Linked DNA regions of Ovis aries. The main gene of each other region encodes a partner of the protein of the gene in region 2 in a complex. Links are inferred from orthologs where the notes say so. Each region holds a gene or a part of one and is shown on either strand. Other genes may lie near its edges.

What was found.
Region 1: the proteins of CCKBR (region 2) and GAST are in contact, whole or in part, in a cryo-EM structure (PDB 7XOW), measured with the Homo sapiens proteins. The link is inferred for Ovis aries from reciprocal best matches to the Homo sapiens genes CCKBR and GAST. Residues at the interface, in NP_795344.1 of Homo sapiens: Cys107, Pro114, Asn115, Gly118, Thr119, Phe120, Met134, Gly135, Val138, Tyr189, Gln204, Cys205, His207, Leu222, Val349, Tyr350, Ala352, Asn353, Arg356, Pro361, Ala363, His364, Leu367, Ser368, Ile372, His376, Tyr380; in NP_000796.1 of Homo sapiens: Glu85, Ala86, Tyr87, Gly88, Trp89, Met90, Asp91, Phe92.

The regions. Positions count from the first base shown.
Region 1 is NC_056064.1:41,660,266-41,664,013, reverse strand, and holds GAST (gastrin), read right to left. Parts: upstream 2,356-3,748; 5' UTR 2,302-2,355; intron 565-2,301; 5' UTR 560-564; coding exon 349-559; intron 203-348; coding exon 99-202; 3' UTR 16-98; downstream 1-15. UniProt on the Homo sapiens protein: Gastrin stimulates the stomach mucosa to produce and secrete hydrochloric acid and the pancreas to secrete its digestive enzymes. It also stimulates smooth muscle contraction and increases blood circulation and water secretion in the stomach and intestine.
Region 2 is NC_056068.1:46,513,794-46,517,541, forward strand, and holds the start of CCKBR (gastrin/cholecystokinin type B receptor), read right to left. Parts: upstream 2,920-3,748; 5' UTR 2,827-2,919; coding exon 2,676-2,826; intron 1-2,675. UniProt on the Homo sapiens protein: Receptor for gastrin and cholecystokinin. The CCK-B receptors occur throughout the central nervous system where they modulate anxiety, analgesia, arousal, and neuroleptic activity.

The sequences.
Region 1 (3,748 bases), on a different chromosome or scaffold from region 2:
CTTGGCACAACTTGATCCATTGGAAGCTAGTTTATTTTGATGTGTGTTTCATGGGGCTGGGCTGGGCCAGGAGGTGACTGGGCTCCAAGGCTCAGTTCTCAGGGATGTTGGTCCCCTTCCTCAGCACTGCGGCGGCCGAAGTCCATCCATCCATATGCGGCTTCCTCTTCCTCCACCCATGGCCCCTGCTTCTTGGACAGGTCTGAGGGTCAGAGGTGGGAGAGGAGGTGAGGATGGGGGAAAGGACATCTAGGCTCTAGAGACCGTGGCCAGGACCACCAGGCTTTGGGTGCTTTGGCCAAACCAGGCAGGGCGAGGCAAGCAGGGACGGTTGTCAGCAGCTCCTACCTGCGACCATGTGTGGCGGGTCCTGAAGCCCCAGCTGCCGGCGGGGGTGCGAGGCTAGGCCCAGCCGGTCCATCCTGAGAGGCTCCTGGCCCTTATTGGCCCCTGGAGCGACGGGCGCGTCTTGCAGCTGGGAGTGGGGTTTCCAAGAAGCTTCGCAGAAGGCGGCCAGAGCCAGCACCAAGATCAGCGCATGAGCACACAGTCGCTGCATCTTGTCTGCAAAGGAGAGAGGGACTGAGCTTAAAGGTGGGGTTGTCCAGGCACCCGGGGGCAGGGTGGACCCTCCTCCCTGCCGACAGGTCAGCAATTCTCCATGGGCTTGTGGACCGTTCCTCCTGGTCCTACCATCTCCTCCCCTGATCCTCCAATCTCAACCTTTGCCTTTTTTAAAGGCAAGGAATTTATAACTCAGAGCAAGGCTTTCCAAACTGTTCTGTAGAATTTGAGGCCATGTGAGTGGCTCTATAATGTTAAAGTCTTGCGGTTTAAGTGAACTTCTAAATACTAATATGGATGAGATATACACACTCAGAAGCACACAGCATCTCTTTGAAGCCCACAGCAACTTCACTGCATGGTGGGGTCCCACTGTGGTAGGGAAGTTTCTCCCGCCATTCTCATTTAACTAAGGACTATCCTCTGATTTTTTCCAGGTGATGCTAGTGGTAAAGATCTCGCCTGCCAATGCAGGAGACATAAGAGACACGGGTTCGATCCCTGGGTCAGGAAGATCCCCTGGAGGAGGGCACGGCTACCCACTCCAGTATTCTTACCTGGAGAACCCCCATGGTCAGAGGAGCCTGGTGGGCTACAGTCCATGGGGGTCGCAAAAAGGTGGACATGAACAAAGTGACTTAGCATGCACATCTCCTCTGATTACAATCTACCAGTTGAAAAAAAAAAAAAGACCCGGAAACTGTCACCATTTGCAGCTCTGTATCAAGGTGAGCCAAGTTTGGGAAAACCAGAATACAAAAATAAAATGGATGCTCAAACAAATCTAAAATTCTATTCTGAGGATTCGAAAGTTTCATGTTCTTTCAGCCTCATTGTTCTGATTGGCTATATTGAAAGCAAATGATAAGAATATTGCCTTCAAAGAACACATTTGTATACATGAAATACTTTTTTCATCTGTTTTCTCTGTTAAATTTCCTTTGGGAGAGGAAGGGTTCTTCTGCTAAAGACACAAAGTTGAAAAATCTATGCTCTAGAGCAATGCTGTCCAATATGGCAGCCTCCAGGCACAGGTGGCTCTTTACATTTAAATTAGTACAAAATTAAAAATTCCCTGGGACTCCCCTGGTGGTCCAGTGGCTATACCTCAGTTCACAATGCACTGGGCCCAAGTCTGATCCCTGTTCAGGGAACTAGATCTCACATCCTGAAACTAAAAGTTCGCAGGCCTCAGCTAAGACCTGGGGCAGCCAAATAAATAAATGAAAATAAAGATTAAAAGAATTCCTCCCTCACACAGCCATATTTCTAGCACACATGTGGCTGGCCAGTACTGTATCTCACAGTGAGGCTATGGAACAGTACCACCATCATGGAAAGTTCCATGAGGCAGTGCTGGTCTATGAAATAGCTTGAGATGAGTTCCAGTTCCAATCCTGTCCAATTTGTATGACTTTGGGCAAGTCACATCTCCTTCTGGGCCTCAGTTTTCTTACCTGAGAGATGGGAGGATAGCCTTCATCCTAACCCCTCAGGGCTGGGGTTAGCATGGCGCCAGAGAGTCAGGGCAGGGCCCTGGCTGAGAGAGTGGGGCAGCTCGAAGGCAAGGGTTGGGATGCCAGGGTGGATCCTAGAGCTGAGACCTAACCCAGCTCTGGGCTAAAGGAAGGGTCTCAGCCCCGGAGACACTGAGATGTGAGCCTGGTAACTTAATGAGGGTAGGGGTCCCATCAACCCTCGTCCCAGCCTCTCCCCTCCCTTCCTGGGTGGTCTCACCTGCGGAGCTGGGAGGTGGGTGATGCTGGTGTTGGCCCGAAGCCTCACTCCTCCGCTCTGCTGGGTGTTCCAGCCCTGACTTATAAACCCTCAAGGCCCCTCCCAAACCTCTCCCCCTCCCAGGAGGGGAGGCTCCCCAGTGCAGAGGAATAGGGGTGGGCACAGGTGCCTTACCCCCGCCCCACCCTGTCCTCAATCGTCATCCGGATGTGGGGGAAGAGAAGGGGAGCTGACCTTCACGGTGAGGGGTAGGAGCAGGGTGGGGGCAAGTTTTTCAGCTGGACATGAGGGCGGGTGGGAGACAGACAACCTGGGGTCAGGGGTACAGTCCCTTGCCGTGTCCTTAGGGTCAGACACCTGCTGATCATCCCTTGGACCACATCCCATTTAGATGAACCAAGTGACCTTAGATTCAGAGAAAGCGTGTTTCACGACAGGTTGATGTTTGAAGAACAGGGAGTGTGTGAGTGTGGAGTGAGGTATTGATCCTCTGTCCCCTCTGTCAGGCTCTGCAAACAGGATGTGTCACGGTTATCAGGAGCAATGGGCCGTGGGCTGATGGCCCTCCTCTCTCTGCCTGGTGACTGCATCCTGGTTGCCTCTGAAGCCCCTTCACCTGATTTACCTGGAGAATCCTGAGTGTCCCCCCTCCCATGCCCTTGATGCTCTCTGCACTGAGCTGGATTTAGCTTGTGGCTCCCTATCATTTCTCAAGTCTGCCCCTCCTCCCCTACTCCTTCCTACCCCCACCCTGCCCTCAGCCAGTTCCCTGAGGCTCGTACACTTCCAGGCTCCCTCCCTCATTTTGTTTTCAAAGTGAGATATTAATCTGCACCTTTCAATATAAAAATACATCTTAAAGTGGTTAACAAACAGACTAAAGCGTTTGCCAGAAAACCAGAAAATCGAGTGGTATGTTTAGTTGACTTATTTGATAAACTGCTGCATTGACCTGGTTTGGATGGATGTAACTAGCTCTAGGCTGTGTTCGATTTTTCCACAGTTGAGACTAGAGATTTTGCTTTTGTTCATGCGTCAACAGGCCCCCTCCCTGTCTGGGGGAGTTTTGATGTCCCTTGGATCCTGTATAAGGGGCTATGGTACCCACGCTCACAGCCAGCCTTACTGAGAATTAATAGGTGATGAAAGAAGCAGGCTGTGAGGTGTCCATGGCAACCAGTAGCCAAATGTTCTGATAAATAACCAGTCTCTTCTGGAGCAGGACTCAGTGACTCAGCAGATGGAGTACATGAAAATGACAAAAACGGGGCAGACCTTGTTGATAATTAATTGAATCACAGAATCTCAGAGATGGAAGGGACTTTGAGGGGGCTTGGGAGGAAAGGTGGGGTGGGGAGCAGCTCTGCTCACATCCTGGGGGAATAGAGATGTTCACATTGCTATGGTAACGGGAAGTTGTAAGCTTTCATCAGAGCCCTGGTTGGTT
Region 2 (3,748 bases):
TGTCTCTCTAATGGTTTCGTCTAGATCTCCTTCATGGACTCCTCTTCTTCTGCTTGGCTTTTAAAACTTGGTCTTCCTCAAGGTCCTATCCCAGGACCTCTTTTTTTTTTTTTTTTTTTAAATCTGACACAATCTTTGTATGATTTAATCTAGTTTCATGGCTTTCATTACCTCCTCTAGACAAACAAAAACCTTTCAAGTCTTCCTTTCCAGCTTGTACCGCCCAGATCCTTGGATTCAACAGCTTACTGGGCAACTCCACCTGGATATTTCACTGGCATTTAAACTCAGTGGGTTCCAAATTGAATGGATAATCTCCTCTTTCAAATGTTTCTGCTTCCTTATTATCCTCAATATACAGCACAACTACCCAGTTGTCTAAGCCAGAAACCTAGATGTCGCCCCTTGACCTCTTCTTCCCTCTCCGTTTCTAATAAATCATTAAGTTCGGTGGGTTTCACTTCCTGAAGTATCTCCCCAATCCATCCAGTTCTCTCCATCTCCACTGCCAGTAGCTCAGCCTAAGCCAGTATCCTGTTTCACCAGGGCCAGCGTAACACAGTAGCCTTCAAAGGGATGCCCCTCTGCCCATCTCTTGTCCTCCAATCCGCCCTCTTTACTACAGAACTAATCCTGGCAGCACGACTTCACCTTCCAGCAGTTCCCATTGACCTTGGGATAAAATCCATACTCCTTAGACAGTTCCACACATTTTTCTGGAGTCTCTCTAGGCTGGCCTTCATCCTGAGTGGTCACCATTCCTCTCTTATGGTACATGTTCCAGGCACTCAGAAACTGATACACTGGACGAAAGTGCCATGGATTTAAACTCTGGGTGTTTATACATACTGTTCCTCTGCTTGAGATGATTTTTGCCTTTTGTGCCCCTTCATCTGGCTGACTTTCCCTCAGGTTTTTTCTTCTTAAATTTTTCATTGGAGGATAATTGTTTCACAGTATTGTGCTGTTTTCTGCCATGAATCAATATGAATCAGCCACATGTATACAATATGCCCCTCCTTCTTGAACTTCCCTCCCATCTCCCACCCCTCCCACTCCTCTAGGTTGTCACAGAGTACTTCCCTCAGCATTTTAATTTCTTTTTCAATTTACCCTTTACCTCCTCAGAAGGTCAAATTTGATTCCCAAGGCTAAGCTAGGCTAGAGGTGCTCCTCATCTATGTTCCCACATCCCTCTCAAGGCACGTCCCTCGTTGTCTGGCAAATCCCTGCTTACTTGTCTGTCTCTCCGACTGAACTGTGAGCTCCTTGAAATAAGAACCGTGTCAGTTTTGTTTTACTCCTGTCCCTAGTGTCTAGCACAATCTCTGATTCAATAAATATTTGTTGAGTGAAAGTATCCAAGTGTAAGAATGAGAGAGTGTATAACAGTGAGCTGAGAAAGCCTTTGATATTTTATGGAGGTAAATAAATCCTTCAATTACAATTTATTCCCACTTTCCCTTCTAGAGCTTGGAATAATTTCCTTCTGCTTAATGCTGTTCCCTCTCCTGGAATCCCACTTATTACTTTTCTGCCTCCTGAACTCCAGCTTCAAGGTTCCCTCTGTGAAGTTTTCAGATCTCATCTCCTTTGGGTGCCCACAATTTGGTCCCTCTTATGGGAATTCTAAATGCTGACTGTGGTTTCTCCCATTGGTTTTTGTCTCTTTCCTGCATTGAAGATGAGAGTCCAGACTGGCTCTAGTTTAGTCCTGTGTGTCTGGCACCTAGCCTAGGGACTATAGTAGCAGCTGTCTAGTAACCACTTAAGGAAAGAAAAGGTATGGGAAGGGGAAATATGACTGGAGCTGGGTCATCAAGAAAATGTAGATGTGGAGTGAAGGGAGGAGTGAAAGTCATTTCAGGGACTGGGTGAGTGACAGCAGCCTGCGGGTGGGAGGGAAAGGTGGCCCAAGGGGCGGGATGATGAATGGGGCAGCCAGGCTCTAGAAGGGTGAAACCTAAGGAAAGGCAGGTTGGAGAGGGGGCTTGGAAGGGACCTAGAGACATTACTTGGAGACACCAAAAGAGAGAGGGTATAGAGCCTTGAGAACTCCAGCTTGGGAGGCAAGGAGATTTGAGGAAGAGGGCAAAGGAGATCAGCCCCCAACCCAACATCCAGCCTAATTCAGGTTAGGGGATCTCTTGGGGAAGGCAAGGAGTTGGGGCGGGCAACACAGGAGACTGTAATTGTTTGTAACTGACTGTAACTTCCCATTCAGGTCTTCCAGACCGCCTCTGCCAGCAGCCAGCCCCCTTCATCCCCCCAGTCTTGCCTTTCTTCCTTCCTTTCCTTTCCCATTGAGGCTGCCTGAACTGACTGCAAGAGGAAAGGAGACTTGGAAGGGATTGGCCAGAGGAGGTCCTTGCCTTTCCACTGTCTCTGTCTAGCAGTGGGCTGTGTGTTGGTGAAGGTGATGCGTTTTGGGGGTGACCAAGAGCTCTGGGGGTGGCGAGGGGACCAGGGTGTGAGGGGACTGTGACCAGGTAGTGTGAAGCTGTGATGGAGTTCTATGAGCTGTGGAGGACAGATGTGTCAGGGGAGCTGTCTGGGGACGGAGGGAGTACTATGAAGGGATGGTGTGGGCGTTTGAGGAGGCTATGGGGGCCTCCGTGAGTGTTGTGGGGTGCAGTGAGAAGGAGCTCGCGGAGGGGGCTTAGGGAGGCACCCACCTCGTGTCCCGGCTCCGCGGATGCGTGGGGGCTCACAGCTGAGGTTGCCGGTGCCGCTGCCGTTGAGGAGGGGGCCCCCCGGGCGGCACAGGGAAGCTCCCGGCCCGGGTCCGGATCCCAGCACGCTCCGGTTTGGCTTCAGCAGCTCCATGGCCACGGCTCAGCCGCCGCCTCCCAGCGCTCGCCCGGGCGAGCTCCCGCTGCGGCTCCACCTGCTCCCGCCGCGATTCCGGCTGAGGCTCGCGCCCCGCCTGGTTCCCGCCCCCAACCTTGGCCCCTGTCCCTCCGCTCCTCCTCTGCGCGCCCCGCCTCTGCTCGCCTCCCTCCCAAGCTCGGGACCGCCTCTGTCCAGCCAGGTGACTCTCCGTCCCGCTCTCCTGCTCCTGACTTACCCGCGCCCCTCCGCCCCTCGCCCGGGGGCTGTCCTGCCTCCCGCCCAGGGGGCCTGTCCGCACCCCACCCCTCAGATTTCTCCCTTTTTCTCTTAGAGATTTCCTTCCCGCCCAGTCCCCTTCACCAGCGTCCCGGTTCCAGGGAATTCTCAGGAGCGTGTGTATCTGTGTGTGTGGGCGAGGTTTGGGGAGAGGTTAGTAGTGGATGGAGAGGTTGCGAGGAGGGAGGCTGGGTAAGAAGGCCGCGTTAAGGGGACAGGGTAGGGCGCGGCTGCCGCGGGGTTTAGCATCTTTTCCTGGTGGGTCGGGGAACCAGGAGGTGGCCACCGAGACGCGGGGATCACTGGCTGCGGCGCAGACGCCTTAGCCCGCGGGAAGCGCCACGGTACCCTACTATGCCGCAGTGGCCGCAGTGACCGCGACACCATCGCTGGTCGTTCCCTGCAGCTCTTCGCCTCGGGGCAGGGGCAGCCCCTGCTTCTGTTCGCCGCACCCTCACCTCCTACATCAGGCCCAACACACAGGCTTCCACGCAAAGCGCCCAAGGAACCCTCCCCAGCGGGCAACGATGGGAATGGGGCAGCATTCCCGCCCCGCTGGGGAAAAGGGCTGCCTGGAGGAAGAGTGACTTGGGGATCGAGGGGCGCCCGGGGTAGCGGCGAGAACTCCCCGGGATAAACA